Styela clava: one gene and its partner. The protein of the gene in region 1 interacts with the protein of each later gene in a pairwise test. Links are inferred from orthologs where the notes say so. Each region holds a gene or a part of one and is shown on either strand. Other genes may lie near its edges. The genes, in order: cilium assembly protein DZIP1L-like and centrosomal protein of 76 kDa-like.

The links.
Region 2: the proteins of cilium assembly protein DZIP1L-like (region 1) and centrosomal protein of 76 kDa-like interact in binary tests that used the Homo sapiens proteins (3 or more experiments, as listed by UniProt). The link is inferred for Styela clava from reciprocal best matches to the Homo sapiens genes DZIP1L and CEP76.

What each region holds. Positions count from the first base shown.
Region 1 is NC_135256.1:2,771,621-2,780,216, forward strand, and holds the start of cilium assembly protein DZIP1L-like, read left to right. Parts: upstream 1-4,752; 5' UTR 4,753-4,884; coding exon 4,885-4,954; intron 4,955-5,716; coding exon 5,717-5,874; intron 5,875-6,634; coding exon 6,635-6,751; intron 6,752-7,176; coding exon 7,177-7,371; intron 7,372-8,596. Other genes in the region: serpin B6-like, read left to right, coding at 425-569, 927-1,044, 1,434-1,642. UniProt on the Homo sapiens protein: Involved in primary cilium formation. Probably acts as a transition zone protein required for localization of PKD1/PC1 and PKD2/PC2 to the ciliary membrane.
Region 2 is NC_135252.1:22,881,762-22,890,696, forward strand, and holds the start of centrosomal protein of 76 kDa-like, read left to right. Parts: upstream 1-5,619; 5' UTR 5,620-5,656; coding exon 5,657-5,843; intron 5,844-7,737; coding exon 7,738-8,935. UniProt on the Homo sapiens protein: Centrosomal protein involved in regulation of centriole duplication. Required to limit centriole duplication to once per cell cycle by preventing centriole reduplication.

The DNA of each region.
Region 1 (8,596 bases):
AACATTTACAGTTCACATGACGCTTTTCATCACAATACGTACGGCATTTTGGGGTTACACAAGATCTATGAATTGTCTGAAGGGTACCTATTAATATTGAGTTTGATAAACCCTGTACTAGATCATCTAATATTGGAAATTCAATATTTTCGAGTGTGAGGGTGGCTGGACCTCACCACGTTGAAGTCGTATACGTAAGATATGTATTCCATCCACTCTCCTACGGTCTAATAAATATTAGTGGGCAATGTATAGCCGGTCCTGCCACACATATTAGCTCGTATCAATAGCAGTGTCGGTGTGAAACCTTATAATAAAAAAGTGTACAAACGTGATTGCTAGCGATTGTTATTGGTGCTGAATATCCTAGCAATACTTGGGTACTTTAGTTTTGTATATTAGAAGTATAATATTTAAATTACAGGAATGGAAAATATGTTATGATCATTCTGGTACCGAACGATGACTTCAGTTTCAAAGACATAGAAGAAAACTTGGAGAACGAGTATGACAGCTGGAGACGAGGTGTTGTCAGCGGACTGATTGAACTTTGTCTGCCGAAATTCCAGGTAAAATACTGCTACTATACTTGGAAATTTTATTGTGAAATATTTTCACAATCGCTCCTTTTAATTGTTCGACCGATTCATAAGATGTGAATTGGTAAAATGACTGGATATTGATAGATGAGTTACAATTGGGTAGTAATAAAGACCCAACTGAATTTAACACAACTCTTGATAACAAAGCCGATTTACATCGAGAATTGTTCAGAACATCTCGTAATTGTCCCAGAAGCCTGATTGGTGACTTGATTTGATCACTAAATCTTTTTTGAGTTAGGATGGTATGATACACAAATATATCCAAAAAAGCCTTGACAGACGTGGCAGGTTTCAAACAATGATATTTTGGGTTCATTTCAGATGAATTTTCAATCTGATCTCGAATTATCCTTGCGGCGTCTTGGAATAACAGCTGCGTTCCAGTGGAGTAGAGCAAACTTTGAAAACTTGAGCGAGGACAGACTTTCTTTCTCAAAATGTAAGTTTTTTATTGCGAATATTCTTTAGATGTGGAAGAGGCGACGTGAAGATATTGGCGGACTTCAAAAAATTGATCGGCGCGGGGATATAGCGGTGAAAGTGTTTTACTTAACTGACTTGGCATCGCAGATTACACATCTCGGTTTCAGCCATGCCTTCCTCACCTAACCCATGATGTAATAAATTGGGTAGGAAAAGTTGGACCGGATGGATCACATATCGTGAAATTTCAATGTCTGCTTTTACAGCGCATTGCGAAAGTCGTGAATAAGCGTTGTCCACAACTTTTCTCGGCATAAATGCTGTTTTCGTTCTGAATATTATATTAAAATTTCAATTACATTGAAACTGATTTCCAACAATACAATTTACAATATTTATTTACAGTTATCCACAAAGCTGCTGTAGTCGTTGACGAAAAAGGAACGAAAGCTGCCGCGTCTTCGGCTTCTATCGCAATTCTACGTAAGGCATCAGATCTTGCATATTTCAAAATCGACCGATCGTTCCTATTTTTTGTTGAAGACACCAGCACAAGAGCACAGTTATTTGCAGGAAGAATCATTGACCCAACGAAATCTAACAATGTACTCTGAATAATACTGTTTTTCATCAAAAGATCTTTCTAATTGACGGGAAGAAAATGGGGAAAAAATGATGCCATTCTAATTACAAATATGTAAACAAATATGAAGTTTATCGCGATTCCCATGTCACTCTCACGGGTGCTTAACTTCGATACTATAATCAATATGTCACAAAGAAATTCGCTTTTAAGAGTCTTTCACATCTTCAATCTGGATAGCACGTCCTTGATGTAGACCACTTAATACGCAAGGCTCTACTAAATTCAGTAGGGTCCGATAGGCAGTGTAAGGCGGCCATGTCTCTACTTAGTGAATGTCGACAAGACAAGAAAGTAGATTCGTCAAGGCACCTACAATTCTCTATCATATTATCCACGCATTTCATATCGAAAACTTTTACACGGTAATTCCTATTCTTTTGCGTGGCGAAGAATATACCTTTGTCTAATTTAATATGTAAGCCTATGACCTTACAGTGCCCTAACAGCTAACTCGTGCGAAGTGAAAAACGCATGTCATAAGATCAATTAACAAAATTTTGCAACAACTTTGCCTGCAACTACTAGAAAGCCTATGTTAAATAAAAGGTGCGGCGCGCGGTTTCACCCAGTCATTTCTATCTGGCCCTTCTAAAGGTTGCACACTCCTGCCCTAGACACCAACCACGCTTTATTAACTTAATGAGCACGCACGCTTAATTAAGCAATATCGATTTCAAACAATTGCGCGTTTGGAAAACCTACACGTCATGTCGCCTACTGAATTCATACAGCTCAGACACACAAAAAACTGAATGTTTAAATTCGAACGTGCGTGGTCATGATGGAGTTGTGATAAATGTTAGTCTTTGAAAGACCTGAACGTTTTAGTTCCGGTATAGATCAATATGCGCCTAGTTCGAAACTGCACCGTAGATACCGAAATCAACCTTCAATCATGCGTTTTTGTTATGACTGTTTTATTCTGGTTAGCAAATATAAATCTTTCTTTCGCTATTTCATTTAAGAAAAATTAAGTTAATTTATTATCAGACAAAAAGCAAAACTTAACTGCTAGAATATCTAAGCCGCGGATGATGAGTAAATTTACACGTAGTCTTTATTCGTCGATCGCTAATGTATGTTAATTTATTTTATTTATTATAATAATCAGTGTTCAAAACTGTATTTTTATTGTATATTACGAAACGAATAAATTGGAGTGATATGAATAAGAAACTGTGACTTATTGGAACCTCTGGCGTATCAGTTGTAAATGCGCATTGTATCCGATTTACTAACAATAAAACCTTAAACTTGAACTGAAAAAATCCTTAAAACGCTAAGCAAACTAAGTCGATTTACAAATCTGTTTGAAAATATTTTGAAATGGCTCTGCTTTCGTATTTTCCGTCAGTATCTTAAATTCCATATTAATGGTTTAACACCCTAATTTTTTAAAGTGTTCTTCCTATTGAATAGGAGACCAATGTTCAAGATTAGTTCTTTTCTGCTTAATGAGATACCAAGTACTCGAGTAGAGTACTGTTTCTATAATGGTAAGGCAATATTTCCTCGTAATACAGAGATTTTATAATGCTATTGCTATTAGATATACGCAATTACGAGGTGTCAATTTTTGTCATGTTTGTGATTGAGCACGCTACTAAATAGTGAGTATTCCAAAAGTAATCATATTCTGAAAGGCAACATGTAAATAAATTCGTAGATACAGGTCCAAAGTAATAGAAAGGATGCGCAAAGTTAATACTATTCAAAAATACTCGTCACATCCGTTGTTAAAGAAGGGGTATCCATCGAAGCCCCAGCAGGTTGTCATGGAAAGGCGATTATACCCGTCTAATAATTTAAGTTCTACAGACTAAAACAAAGCATATTACAATAACACATATTCTCACGAGACAGTCTAGTCAGCTATCTAAACTGGGGTTTTCAATATCGATATACTATATATACCTGCTCAAACTAAGGATTAGCTAGTTATAAATGACTCCAATATGCAATGGAACGCAATTACGTAAAGCCACAGACGCTACTATCGCCAGAGATACGTTTATTCTTTTAGATGTACTTAGCGTGGAAGTACAGGGTTCAGAATACTGATCTCGCGGAAAAGTGTAACGCAGAAGTTAGGATAGTATTCCATATTGATCCCGGGGAGTGAAAACCGATAAGACGGCCTAATTGATATGGGGAACCACGGCCTGGCACGGTTTTCTGGCAAATTTTGACACCTCCGTGTTCTAAATGCAAAATACCTAACCAGTGAAACCTTCCAGCTGCAAAGACTTGGAAATTATATATAAATTTGTTTATATGTCCATGTATGATAAGTCTTATAACAGGATAAGTTTTCATATTTATAGTAGTAATATTTATTCATCACCATGTGAATATTGAAGATACATTTACAAACAGACAGACAGATAAAAAACATAATGGGTATATGCTAATGAGAAATTAAATAAGTTGACTTAGCCGTGTAACAGGCAGTGGTCTCCTGTCTACATCGTCCGATCACCATGTCATGTTGGATATTCGAATCGTTAACCAGTTTATCGTTCCAGATGCGCCGACTTTGATAACTGATCAGCAAAAAAACGTGAACTTTCCTTTGACAACGAGGGTGCTAGCAATCCTCTCACGCATCATGTAATACGCGATTACAAGCTGGCATAACGAGGAAATAATATTTATTTAGGTCGAAATTCTTACCTTGATCCACGGCGCTTTAGTTAGAATAGGGTATATCCACAAATGTTGATTTCGCCATTGCATAAATCACGAGCTGAGTTAGAGTACACCACGAAAAGTTAAGATACCGGTACTTCATGCAAAGCATGCCAGAAGTTATATCTGTAATGGGCTGGTCACAATTGTAATATCATTTATGTTCGCAAAACAAAACTAAGGGAAAAATTGTGAAATACGTAAATATTCATTTAATACTCCCGAGGTGCACGAATTGATTGATTAATTTTGATAATTTGACATTTAGATTTTTTCTTTTATACGTAAACATGCAAAATATCTGACAAATTGTATTGTTTTTTAAAAAGGATTCTGACGCAATAATAAGTTTAAATTTTCCACGAAACCACAGTCCAAACCGCTTGAAATACGACACAACGGGACTGATTTTCAGGACGTAAACAAATGTGTTGCTGTGCGAAGCCTCTCTGTTAGTTTTTGTGATGTTTTTAGAGAATGAATCAATCATCAATCATCAAAAGTGAAATAAAATAGCTGGTAATGGCTGGAGAAACGGCAACTCAGTATCAGATGTTTAGCAGTCATCTATCTCCAAACAGTAATTATATGGGTGAGTTTACCTTTCCCACGCTGTCAATGAATGAAAAAAAACGGACGAGAGGCCGTGGTTTACAGGTTTAAGCTGTCTTATCGGCTTTCCTCTTCCTTGGGGAAATATGTAAATATTACCTTACTTACACCCTTGGCACTACTGCACTAATTGTTACGGTATCGGTACTGAAATCCACATGCATTTAGAAATTTCTATCTTTAAACAACTTCCAAGGCAAATGTAAAACAGAGTCCAGAAGTCTGAAGGGTGAAAGTCAGTGGGGGTTTAGTTTAGTACCACAAGTACTTTCATTGGGCGTAGCATAACGAATTTTGCATATGTTATTCCTAACCCCCACCTGACTATGCCTTCCAAAAATTACAACACTATGACATCACCATCACATCATAGAGCTTGCCAAAGTATAATTATGATTGCCCGAAATGGCATTTGAGCCGCCGATAACGAACTCACTAATGCCGGATATCTCTCTCATATCGTGATCGCTGCGACGAGAAAACAAGAGAAATGGCTTGCTCGATTTCGGCTGATCATCTGTGCGTTTTGGACGACTATCCACATACTTTGGTGAACCTTAATACGCCACTGTGACGTCGCAATGACGTAATTTTTCGGTGACGTGGTCAGGTGGGGGTTAGGAATGATATATGCAAAAATTGTTGAGCGTACTCCAGGACACCCGAAAAGTCTGTATACCATTACGAAAGCCATTGCGTACTTTGAAACTAAATATATCAAATCCGAAATTTTCAATTATAGCTCCACCACATTTGTATGAAGCAGAGATGGGCGTTCCACCAGAATCATTTGCTCCAGTGTTTCAGTTCAGGAAACGGCATGGAGAGATTAACTGGAGAAAAGTTGCAATGATTGATGTTGACAAAGTTGCAAGAGAGTTGGACATTGACACGTTACAGGTGAGGAGAGGTTTTAAATAAGAATTTGTTCACACTGACTTCTAAGGCTTGTACTAATTTAGTTTATTTTGACTTCATAATACAACTATGAAGTTTTCTAACTAGTTAGAGTTGGAATTTTGGGCGCTCCAGAAGTGTGTGCCCCAATATGGAGGTAACTAATTTTGTTCGCCTATCTGACATGAAGTTGTGTAAAGGGACTGAAACCTATGGGCGGGGGTCTCACTTGGCTCACACAGACAGTCCCCGATATCGTAATAGAACTAAAATAAGGACAATCGAAATAAAATTATGGCACAACACTAACCTGGTACATACACTACGGGAGTACCAAATTTAGAATTATAATTTTAGAATTTAGAGGTCGATTCAATGGTGATGAATAGTGACGATTTAGATTTTCTCTGAAGTTTGGAGCTAGAGTCGAAAATCGGAAATCAAAACTTTTATCAATCTTTTGGATTAGTATCTTATTCCTATTGATATTTGTTTCATGTCCAGTAATAGCTGTAACTGAGTGATTTTCTACACCGAACATAATATTATATATGTATTTTTAGTCAAGCTCTACAGAGATCATGTGAAATGTATTTCATTATAATTGAATTTGTTAATTCAGGAATCAGGTAGGCAATATCAATAGTTCAAGTCCTTCCAATCTCATTATGTATCAATATTTGCTCGTCCAGAACCTTGTTTGGAGTGAAGGTGTTTCGTAAATAGTCACCATCTATAATTTTGTTCACTTTCATCATTTTAGGAGCACATCCAGACTGTGGCATTCTGTAACATTGATGTTGTTTCTGACCTTGACCCAATGTTTGCAAAATTGTTCAAGCTGTCACAATATATGATCGAGTATATGCTACATTCTCAGGTAAGACATGTTCCCTCATTTCATGTCATCATTTTTCCACTACTGTTTTCAAAGTTGATTCGACTTAATAATATCTCTACTAGTTCAGAACATCAAATTCTGTGATTTAAATCTAATTCACAAGGATTAGGTGTGTAGGTCATTAGGTGTTTCACCTTTTCGGCATAGAACTGAAACTCTGGCAATTCAAACTGAAACCCCGGCGATAGCCAGTGAAGGGGGCTTTGATGGCCGAATCCCCTCACTTTGTAAAAAAAAAAACTGTGTCATACAGACCCGCAAGACTCCTAAAAACCTGCCAGCTGTCACGTTCTAACTTGACAACTAGAAATTTCAGACTTCAAGCTGTTTTAAACAACTCAACTAGTAAATGAGAATCAGCCTATATATTATATTAGAATTTGAAATATTTTTGCTTTTGGCAGAGTTCACTTCAAGCAATTATAGCAGAGCTCGAAAACAAACTAGAGATTGCAGCAGCACAGCAGAATTCAGCACAGGATAAAATAGGAGAATTAAACGATGATGTTCAAAAATTAAAAGCTGAGAATAAAAAGCGTCGGAAAATGATTGAACAACAACAAATGTTGATTGAATCTGGGGCTTCAAGCTACTACAAGGTGAAGTACGGCTATGCATAGATCAACCTTTTAGGTCAGTGGTTCCCATACCATGGCCCGTGGGCCAATTACTGCTTACGTAACGATTTAATACGGCTTGTCAAACTTATGTTTTACCTTTTTGCGTTCTAGATACCACCAATTGTCATGCCATTATCACAGTTTAAGCATGTGTATATTCGTAATAATTCAATTACACCGTTATATTAAATATGCATACAGGGTTCTCCCCTCTTTGGCCCGCGAATATCCCTTCACTTCTAATTTTGACCCTTGCCCAATCAACTTTGGGAACCACTGTTTGTAGGTGGAACGTAACCCAATGAAACCTTACATAGGATGGAGGAACTCCTGTGCAATAGTTTGATTGTCTTTTATGGTCTGAAATGTATGAACTATAAATAACTATAGATACATAGAAGTGACATATACTGGCAAAATGATCTTTAAATATACTGACAAACCTTAATTAGATTCTATTATTCTCATGATGTCACGCAACTGTGTCTTAGGACAATAAAATAGTCTTTTTCCCTAGAAATCAGAATTAATAATATTAATTTTGTGTATAGCCTATCAAAATTTCATAAGAATATCTGGGGCTCTCCTTAGATTAGGTATGTTACAAAAAAATTAAAGTTCATCCGATTTAAATAAAAACTGCACCAGTGGATAGATCTAAGTGAAAATAAGAAACCAATACCAAGTTTGCGAAAAATGGTCAAGAATTAACGGAGATATCTGCATTTAAGTACCGCCCGATAGGCCAATTTTTTCCATAAGGATTGTATTGCGCCGACTCAAAAACTGTGACCGCGAGAATGTCAGACCGATAAACAACAGAATGTATCTCGGCTATTTTTGGAGGTAATCGAAAAAAATTTTGAACGAAAAGTTATTGTGAATAGAAGAACCTAATGCAAAAAAGTTTACAAATTCTTTTTAACGATATTAGCTGCTTTTCAATTAATTATGTACGAGAAAGTTTCTGAACTTTACATAACCTCTGGTCGGCAACGACCTTCCCAATACGCAAGTCCCCGCATACGCGGCAATTAACTGATTTAGCGTTTTTCATATCCGACCTTAATGAACGATTAATTATCATTTAATATTCCTTAACTCGTAGGAGATTTACCGCGCTTAGTGAAACGCAAAACGAGAGAAATCGCTGCGAGGGAAAATGTCGGCATTCAGTCGATAACTGGTGCGCGTTGACAGACGC
Region 2 (8,935 bases), on another chromosome or scaffold:
GGTCTTGCTTTGAGCAAATTTTCTGAACGAAAACAGAGGTCATGTAATGATACTCGAACACGAATAATTCATTGTCAAAAGTACGTGAGACAAACCGGTGAGGAGAAATGTTTTCAACTATTCTAGCTTATTGTTCTCAACTCATTAAAAATTAATCATTCGCGCGCGAACATGGATTATTACGACATAAAACCATGTAACAAAACACCTTGTTTGTTAATAATAGATATATGGAATGTAAGGGTAACAATGGCACTGTCAAAAATATCAATAAATTTAAAGTAAAATGCCAGTATGTCAGGATGCCAGTTTTGCTCATTAAATATTAATCAATCGCGCGCGAACTTGGATTATTGCGACATAACAGAATGTAATACAACATCTTGTTCGTTAATAATAGATATGTGGAATGTAGGGGGAACAATGCCACTGTCAAAAAAGTCAGAAAATTTAAAGTAAAACTTCAGTAAGTCAGGATAACGGTTCTACACGGAACGAAACCTAATAACTACAAACAAATTATAAAATGAGATATCACACCGATCTCCTCAAAAAACTGCTAACAACGACTAGCTTGGGTCTTATCGCAACAAACACTGGGCAGTAAAAATGAAACACTTTGCTGCTTGGTAATCTGATTTATATGGAGTGCCCATAAATTCTTTTTTTTTTTTTTTTTTTGAATTTGCAAATGGAATTTATCGGAACTAAATATTGTTTCGACTCCCATAGATGTATTATACCAAGTAAAAATACTTAAATAATTACTGTATGAAAAAAACCTGGTTAAAATATATTGAGAATTGCTTTCATAACAAAATTGAAACTGTAAAGGGAATGTATGGACACCCATTACCGAATCTCTTACAGTTTTTTTAAGCAAATTTACTGTTTGTTTATAATATTGGACTAACACTCGTAATAACAAGAAATAGGCCAGAGAGGAAATCAAGACGATCTTAAATAAATATGAATATGCGTTGGATAGGGTTTCCTTATGAAACTGAAAAAATAACATGAGATATTTATAGCGCGATGTGTATTTATAGATTAAAAAGGAAGCAGTATTTTTGTGATGAACATTTGCTGCTTTTGCTCGAATCTTATTTTTTCTTTCTCAGTTGTAATGTGATGCATTTTTTGCTAAACCACTAAAGAAAAATTGTGACATCATAATATATGTCTCTCCGAACATCGACCCATTTTTTTACTTCCCTAGCGTTTCAGCTAGATGTCAATGGTGAAGTAAAAACTGAAGTTCGGCCAGTCAATTTTTTCACAGATATAAGGACTTTGGGGGGTGAACATTAGCTTGTTTATCTGACCATTAGGTGATTTAAGTAATACAAGTTGCATTTAAATATGATTTGAACTTTGCTAAATAAAATATATAAATTTGCGCAATGTTTCATACTAATTTTTCATTCTTAATTACAGTAGACATTATTAATTCGGTATTCCGTAAGTTACGTCAGACATTTCGAATGCGTTTGGGTTTCACGCATGCGTAACAATTCACGTGATTATTATCATGGGTTGTTTGTTACTTGAAGTATAAATTGCAGTAATTTTCCACTCAGCTAAGTCCTACGTTAATTAAGAGCGTCTGAATGCGTGACTCGCGCAGACTAATCACGTGATGATAATCATGCGTAACTTCACATGATTATTAACGTACGCTGGGCATTCCAACAAGAATAAAATCACTGGGTTTGTGTTAATTAGGAAGAACCCGACATCAGATTGTGTTTGCTACACAACGCCGAAAATGCCTGAATCCACGTGATTATTCCAGCACAATGACGCTAAAATGTCTGTAATTTTCCAAGCCTTGTCACGCAATAATAAGAACGTTGTTCAAGAATTATTGGCTTTCTAATTTTTCTAGGTCAGTGTTGTGAAATATTACGCTCTTCCATAATACACCTGATTTTGTTGTCATTTTGTGGATATAACCGAATTTGGACATTAAATTAGCAATTATCGGGTTCGGTTCAGTAATGAATCGAAAATTTAGATTTCCAGCGCAATTTGCATTCCCAGCTCTCGCCATAATCCTAGCGGGATAATTATTATTACTTATCGATCTTAATATCGGTAAGTATGCTGATAGGTATTTGTCTGTTTGTTTGTCTGTCTGTTAGATGCAAGCGATATCTCACGAAAGCGAAGTTAAATCTGCTCCAAATTTTGCATTGTATTCATCATAGCTCGGATCAGGAGCCTATTGATTTTGGATGAATTATGTCGTATAATTAGCGAGTTTATAATTAATTAGTGATGGGACACACGGTGTCACTATGGAGTAAGAGCGCTTTTTTGGGGGATCCCCTAACCTCCGATCGATAAGTCTTCGGTCTCCGACCGATATTCTCGTTTTATTATTTTAAGCGTTGGCGAGGGTGTTATTTAGGGGGATTCGTACAAAAGATCCATTTTACCCAACAGTGATACTGGTTTAAACCCGTGTGTATTTTACTAGAGTTTTATTTGTATAGCCTATTTGTACAGCATGTCTGTTGTCCCAATATAACGCAGCAGTCCTAAACTGCTGTTATAATTGTTAGTAGGGGTGCATGTCGCACATCTGTGTCTTAGGCCAGTAAGGTCTTGAACATGTTTCTCGTCTCTGTTTTACTGTTTATTTATTATGCAGATATTGTTACATTTTTCAGGCAAATAAACATACTTACATACATATCAAAGTAAATCTGTCTAGCATCCATTAGAAACTGCACTAAAACATTTTGCAGTATTTCCTACTCGTGCGTAAGACCACGTGATGCTTAATTTTTGGACGTAACTTCCCACGCATACTTAAGTGCACGTGACGTTTTGGCGTAGGAACAGGAAATTCTATACGTCCAATAGTGCATGTGACGTTTTGCTTGAGAACATGAAATTCGATACGGCAGTGCGCGTGATGTCTTACGTACACATTCCACAATTTCAGTCAAGCGGACAGTCATGAGTTTCTGGGCATTTTTACTTATTGACAAATGCTCTCTGCTAGGGCTTAACAAAAACGAGTCAAATTACGTCAGCATTAAGTGGAAATGCATCAAAACGTCTTGGCTCAAAAATTTACAACACACAAGAAAAAAGTTCAAACATGGACACAAATGTACTGAATGGAAAATCTCACCTTTCAGACATAGACAGATAGGATAATTTTTTCGAACTCCTATATGACACAAAACAATTCAATTATAACTTGAACACACAGATAAACATGAATAACACAATCTCTTTCCCCGAAATAGCAAGTATATTAGTTGGCTTCCTTTGGATCATAGTCTAACTTCTTTAGACAAAATAAGATATAACTGCAAATATCAAAGATCATAATCAATCAATTTTATTTGGTCACTCTGATACAAACAACAAACAAAACAACAACAAAGGGCAAACAAAATACAGAAAACCTGGAGGACGGGCAGAACTTAATAATAAAGATAAATACGTACAAGTACGTGCCCGTCCCCCCAAAACAGTCAAAACACAATAAAGCTAAAACACGATGTGACATCGGCAATATCTTATAAATTAAAATATGGGACGTGTATGTGCTTTTCCTACAGATATATGGATTAAAGAACACTCGCTGCCGAAAAATGGTGATGCTGTAGGCCTGATAATTGTCCATATATATTGGTTATTATATTAATTTCGAAAAGGGTAGAATTGTTTTTTTCTACTATGCTCTCCAAATATATTGATGTGCGAGGGTAAACACTCAGTACAGTAAACCGTTCCCAAATCGCAAGAAAGTCCTCCCTGCCACCGTGCTTAGTATGGGTGAGACAGAGTAAGCTGATTTTTCTTATAGCTGCAATTGTAATTTATAACTAACGCATACGGCACAACAATTTTAATAAATCATGATGGCAAGAAAACATGTTTTTTCCCGGGGAATAAACATACAAGAGAGTTCGATAGAAAGAGGTTTTAGTACCGGAAATACGTTGTAACCGCCCGCTTGGCTTTCACTGCTATGTTTTTTTATTATTTTAAACGAATTCGTCTCAACGTACAACGCAGTAGAAAGGGAAAATCTCGAAAAAGATTTCAAACACAAATAATCACACACAAAAAAATCAATATTAATGAAAATATAAAACGACCTACCCTTCAAGATTTCAATTTAAAAAACAAAACTCATTGCTCTCTAACGACATCTCGCGGTCATAATTTTTTGAATTGGATCAATAGAGTCACGCTTCAGTACCTGTAACGCGGTCAATGATCCTTAGCAAATCATTGACCCGTATCGTCAACTGAAAATTCCCGTATTTCAAAAACAAAACAAACCTAGTTCGCCGAGTTTTAACTCGGTTTGCAGCTGAACGGTTGGATTCTACTGTTCATGTTTTAACAGTTACAGAGTTATCGAAGCTTCTTTCTATATAGTCAATAGTGTGATTACATCAGTGGTTATTGCTGTTATCTACCCATAGGCTACGGTATCGTACCGGCACCGTATTACTGCTGTACCGGTACTGGCTTTCGTCTGAACGTACCGGTACGGTTCAAACTATTGCAGTCATTTATCGAAGAAAATTGAGATGTGTAATCTCATTATTATATCAGTGGGTATTTTTGTCACCGGTATATATCCAGACCAACAGACGAGGTTTAATCATTTACCACCGTATTACGGTGCAATAATCTTGTTTTTAAATTGTGTTAAAAGTATTCTGAATCCGGTAATTATACACTTCTTCAACTTTATTTCAAGTTATGCTCGCCTTCTTCAGTTCTAGGTAGACTATCTCTGCATTTTGTTTGCCTGTTTATGTCAGAGAACTGAAATAATATGATTTATTCATTGATAAGTGAACAAGTACGGTACAGACGTACCGTATCAGTATCTCTTTATTTTGGCAAAACATTTCACAATATATCTATATATTCCGTTCTGCCGTCCTGTACATGTTATATTTGTTCCCCTGATTTTATAAACAATTTTTATTCATTGTTATCAATTACTGTATTTTATAATAATAATAAGTTATTTAGATTCCATCCAGTAATCAGCATAACAGACATGAAATACCATACCGTAGTGCAGGGGTCGGCAACCTTTTGTTGCTCGCGGGCCAAAATTAAGGGTTGCAAGTCATTGGCGGGCCGCACATATTTTTAGAAAGTGGAAAATCGAACGATACATCTCTCGAATAGAATATAGCTTTATTTCCTCATTGCATTGCATCTCAAAAAATTCCATTTGAATATTATCGGTGCCATTGAACCCTTTACACTTAGCATCAACTTTTCTGCGTTTTGTTGCCATTTGTCTAAATTATAATTAAATTATAGGCTCATTAAACGAGTAATTGTGAATTATATACTTGTTAGGTAACAATATAATTTAGTCTACACTTGTCTCACAATAAATTCTGGTATGTAAGACTATAATCGTCGAAACAGCTGTTTTGTTACTATAATTCAGTGATGTGCCACAGGCCGGATTATATTAGTAGGTGTGCCAGATTCGGCCCGCGGGCCGTAGGTTGCCGACCCCTGCCGTAGTTGATAAAAACAAATAAATAAAAACTGATCATATCGTATGTTATGCTGGTAAGTAGTCGAAATAAACGTATACTTATATCGAAACAGTGTTTAATCATTTAACTGCGTCATTATATCAGTGAATATGGCGTCAGCTCTTCCACCAGAAAAGCTTGCGGAGTTGAAGCAGATTATCCATAACCAACTTGTACAAGCGAACATACAGACTCAGATTAAAGATGTTTTGGCCGGAAGTTTTAATCAACAACGAGCTGGACATGATCGGACGGAAATATCTGAAGGGGACATAATGGAAGACTTGAAAAGAAAAGGTGATATATTTAAATTTACCATATTTGCTCGTTTTGTAGCCTGGGCCGATATTTTTTTAATCAAACTCAATAACCGAGCTCTTATTCAAACCGGCCCTCATTCAAGCGCGGGCTCTTTGTCATTTTTTAAAGTAAAATTATACACAAAACTTACGGTATCTTTGAAGACAAATATTGGATGACATTAATCCATTGTGACAAAAGCGCTTCTTATTTCCTATTGTTCTCTACCACTGAAAAATCAGCTTTTACATCGGGCGGGTATTCAAGCACCAACCCTTATTTATGTTCTGTTCACACGGGCGGTATTCAAACGAGCATATACGGTAGTTGAAATATGGTTGCCTGGAAAAGTTTGATCAAGATCAAATCAATCAATCAATCAAGATCGGGCGGTAAAACGAGCATATACGGTAGTTGAAATATGGTTGCCTGGAAAAGTTTGACAAAAATACATTTGTTCGTATGTGTACTGCAACACTGGTAAGTGGTAAGTAAGCTACTTGAGGTCTGGGATTAGGATTTTCATATTTATTCTGTGGGTTCATTCTCACGGTGTGAAAAACGCTTTGGTTCTCAACCTTTTATGGCTAGTAGCCCTCTTCCAGAAGCTTTTAGCACTCATGGCCCCCTGTTTATTACTCCACTTTAAGGGCCACATCCACTGACATAGCGATTCATGGGTTACCGCTTACCAGTCTGTGTTGAGTATGGGAGCACTTAACCAGTTATTTGTTCCAGATATGTGGACTTGATTCTTCATCTAGATCCCAAATATAACTGCATCGACAAAAGTATCTGAATATAGTGATGATACTTTCTATATTATTCTACACCATATATGTATGTAACATATTTCCACCGTTGGTGGAAAAACAAATTGCTGATTACAACTAAATATTCCAATTGTATCAGTGCGCAAATATTTCTGATCGTATGATCAGTGTTATGGCCGCTTTGATATTCAATCAATAATCATGATTCACTTTGCAGTTTGCAGTATTGCTAGCATACTCCTCCAGTCATCTCATTGATGCTCGCAGATAGAAATTTTAATTTTCAATTACATATTCAATTTTTTATGATATGATAACAATGAAAGGGAATACATATTCAATTTTTTATGATATGATAACAATGAAAGGGAATGATGAATCTCACAAACAAATTACATTGTACCCGTTATCCATCCTATACATTTTATTTGGTGAACTATTCTAATTGAGATGAACGAGTCTTCAGATATTGTTTGCAACGCAATGCTGAAAATGCTTTACTGCACATGATTATTACAGCGCAATGACGCTTGAATTTTTGTAATTTTCCAAGCCGTGTTACACAGTAAGAAGAGCGTTGCTCAGCAATTATTAGGACTGGGCATTATCGAATATCTGATAATTTCAGAATTGAATCGAATCTTGAATACTTGGAAGATATGTAGTTGTATTGACTGTTTTATTGTAATGTGTCTTCCAGACACATAAATTGGTGAAAACACATAATCTATCACGCAGCTAGTTCGCTGAGTGTCCACACACAATACGGTGCGGCTAATCGTGCTAAGCGTTAGGAATTCGCTCGTCACCGCGCCTCTAATTACTCTGCGTGGGTTTGAATCCCATGCGGGACGTGGTTATGTGCGAGAGGATTGCAGGATTTCTCGTCGCTGTAGGGTGGTTTACGTAACCGCTGGTCGGTTACGGCTTCCGCCACCATCCACCACTAATCCCATACCCGACATGGAATGGCAAACGGACGAAAGGCCCTGGTCCGCCATATGTTTATGCCATGAATATGTAAATCCTATCCTAAGTAACAACATGTTTCATCAATGCCTAGTTAGTTCACCATTGTTGGGAGTTGAAGTTTTAAATTTCTTTTTTCACTTTCTCAGGTGTTGTGGAAGAAATTCTGCAGAGACTTCGTTACGAATCGCCGATCATTGCTGCTCGAACAAAACCATCCATCCATAAAAATCTTGATGAAGAATTAATTCAAGCGGAACTGAAAAACAAAGTCGCTGTTGATCCGACACGGCGTTACATTTTTATCCAAATACTCGGAGGAAAGGCTTTTATTGATCATCTAAATGCCCCGAAATATCCTGGCGTTTCTGGCGACTCGACAAGACCATGTGCAACTTTCACGCTTCATTTGCTATTCCGGGGTCAAAGGTTCAGGTCACGACCTGTGCAAGTTGCCTGCGAACCTGATTTGTCTGAAGGGTTTCTGCTCGAACTTCACACACATTTTGCTGGTGAGGGGGGTAGAATGGCCGACACAGAAACTATGTTATCAATCTGTGATCCGATTCATCTTATCTTAACCCGAACAGACCCTGACGGTACTATTTCTCTAGTTGGAACAGACTCCCTCGAGTGGCGGAAAGTTTTATCTACTCCACAGGGATCCCACAAGGTGTCGATAGAGTTAATGGGTGTTGGAGCGGAGTCTAAAATCCCAGCTGGTATTTTGGAAGCTAAATTAGAAGTTGTGCCACGAGAAAACCGTGTGAGTTTGACAAAAGAAGTCGTAGACGTACAATGTCAACTTGAAAGGCGGCGTTCTGCGGAAAAAGAACGACTTTTTCTAGTTTATGCAAAACAATGGTGGAGAGAATATCTTCAAATTCGAGAGGAACATCAAACACGTACTGTAAAAATTTTCGCACAGGATGAAACTGGTTTAAACCGCCCTGTTTGTAGTTTTGTGAAACCTCTTCGAGCTGGTAGATTGCTTCATACACCTCGACAAGCAGCGAGATTTGTTAGTACTTTAGGATACGAGCGAGCTCCAACTGTGGGTTCCGGAGGTAATGTGGAACAATGGCGATCTTCGCACGCATTTTTCGCTCTCGGAAAAGGCGACCACGAAGACCATTCTAATCTTCTATGCAGTTTATTGCTTGGATTCGGACTTGACGCTTACGTCTGCGTCGGGTCGAAAAACAGGGGTGGAGCATACACCTGGGTTGTGACTCGTTATTCAGAAGGTGCGACTGTAATTTTCTGGGACGCAGTTACAGGTCATCGATACATCCACCGCATGGTGGCGCCAGATGATCCACCAGCAGTAAAGCAACCTGTAACCAA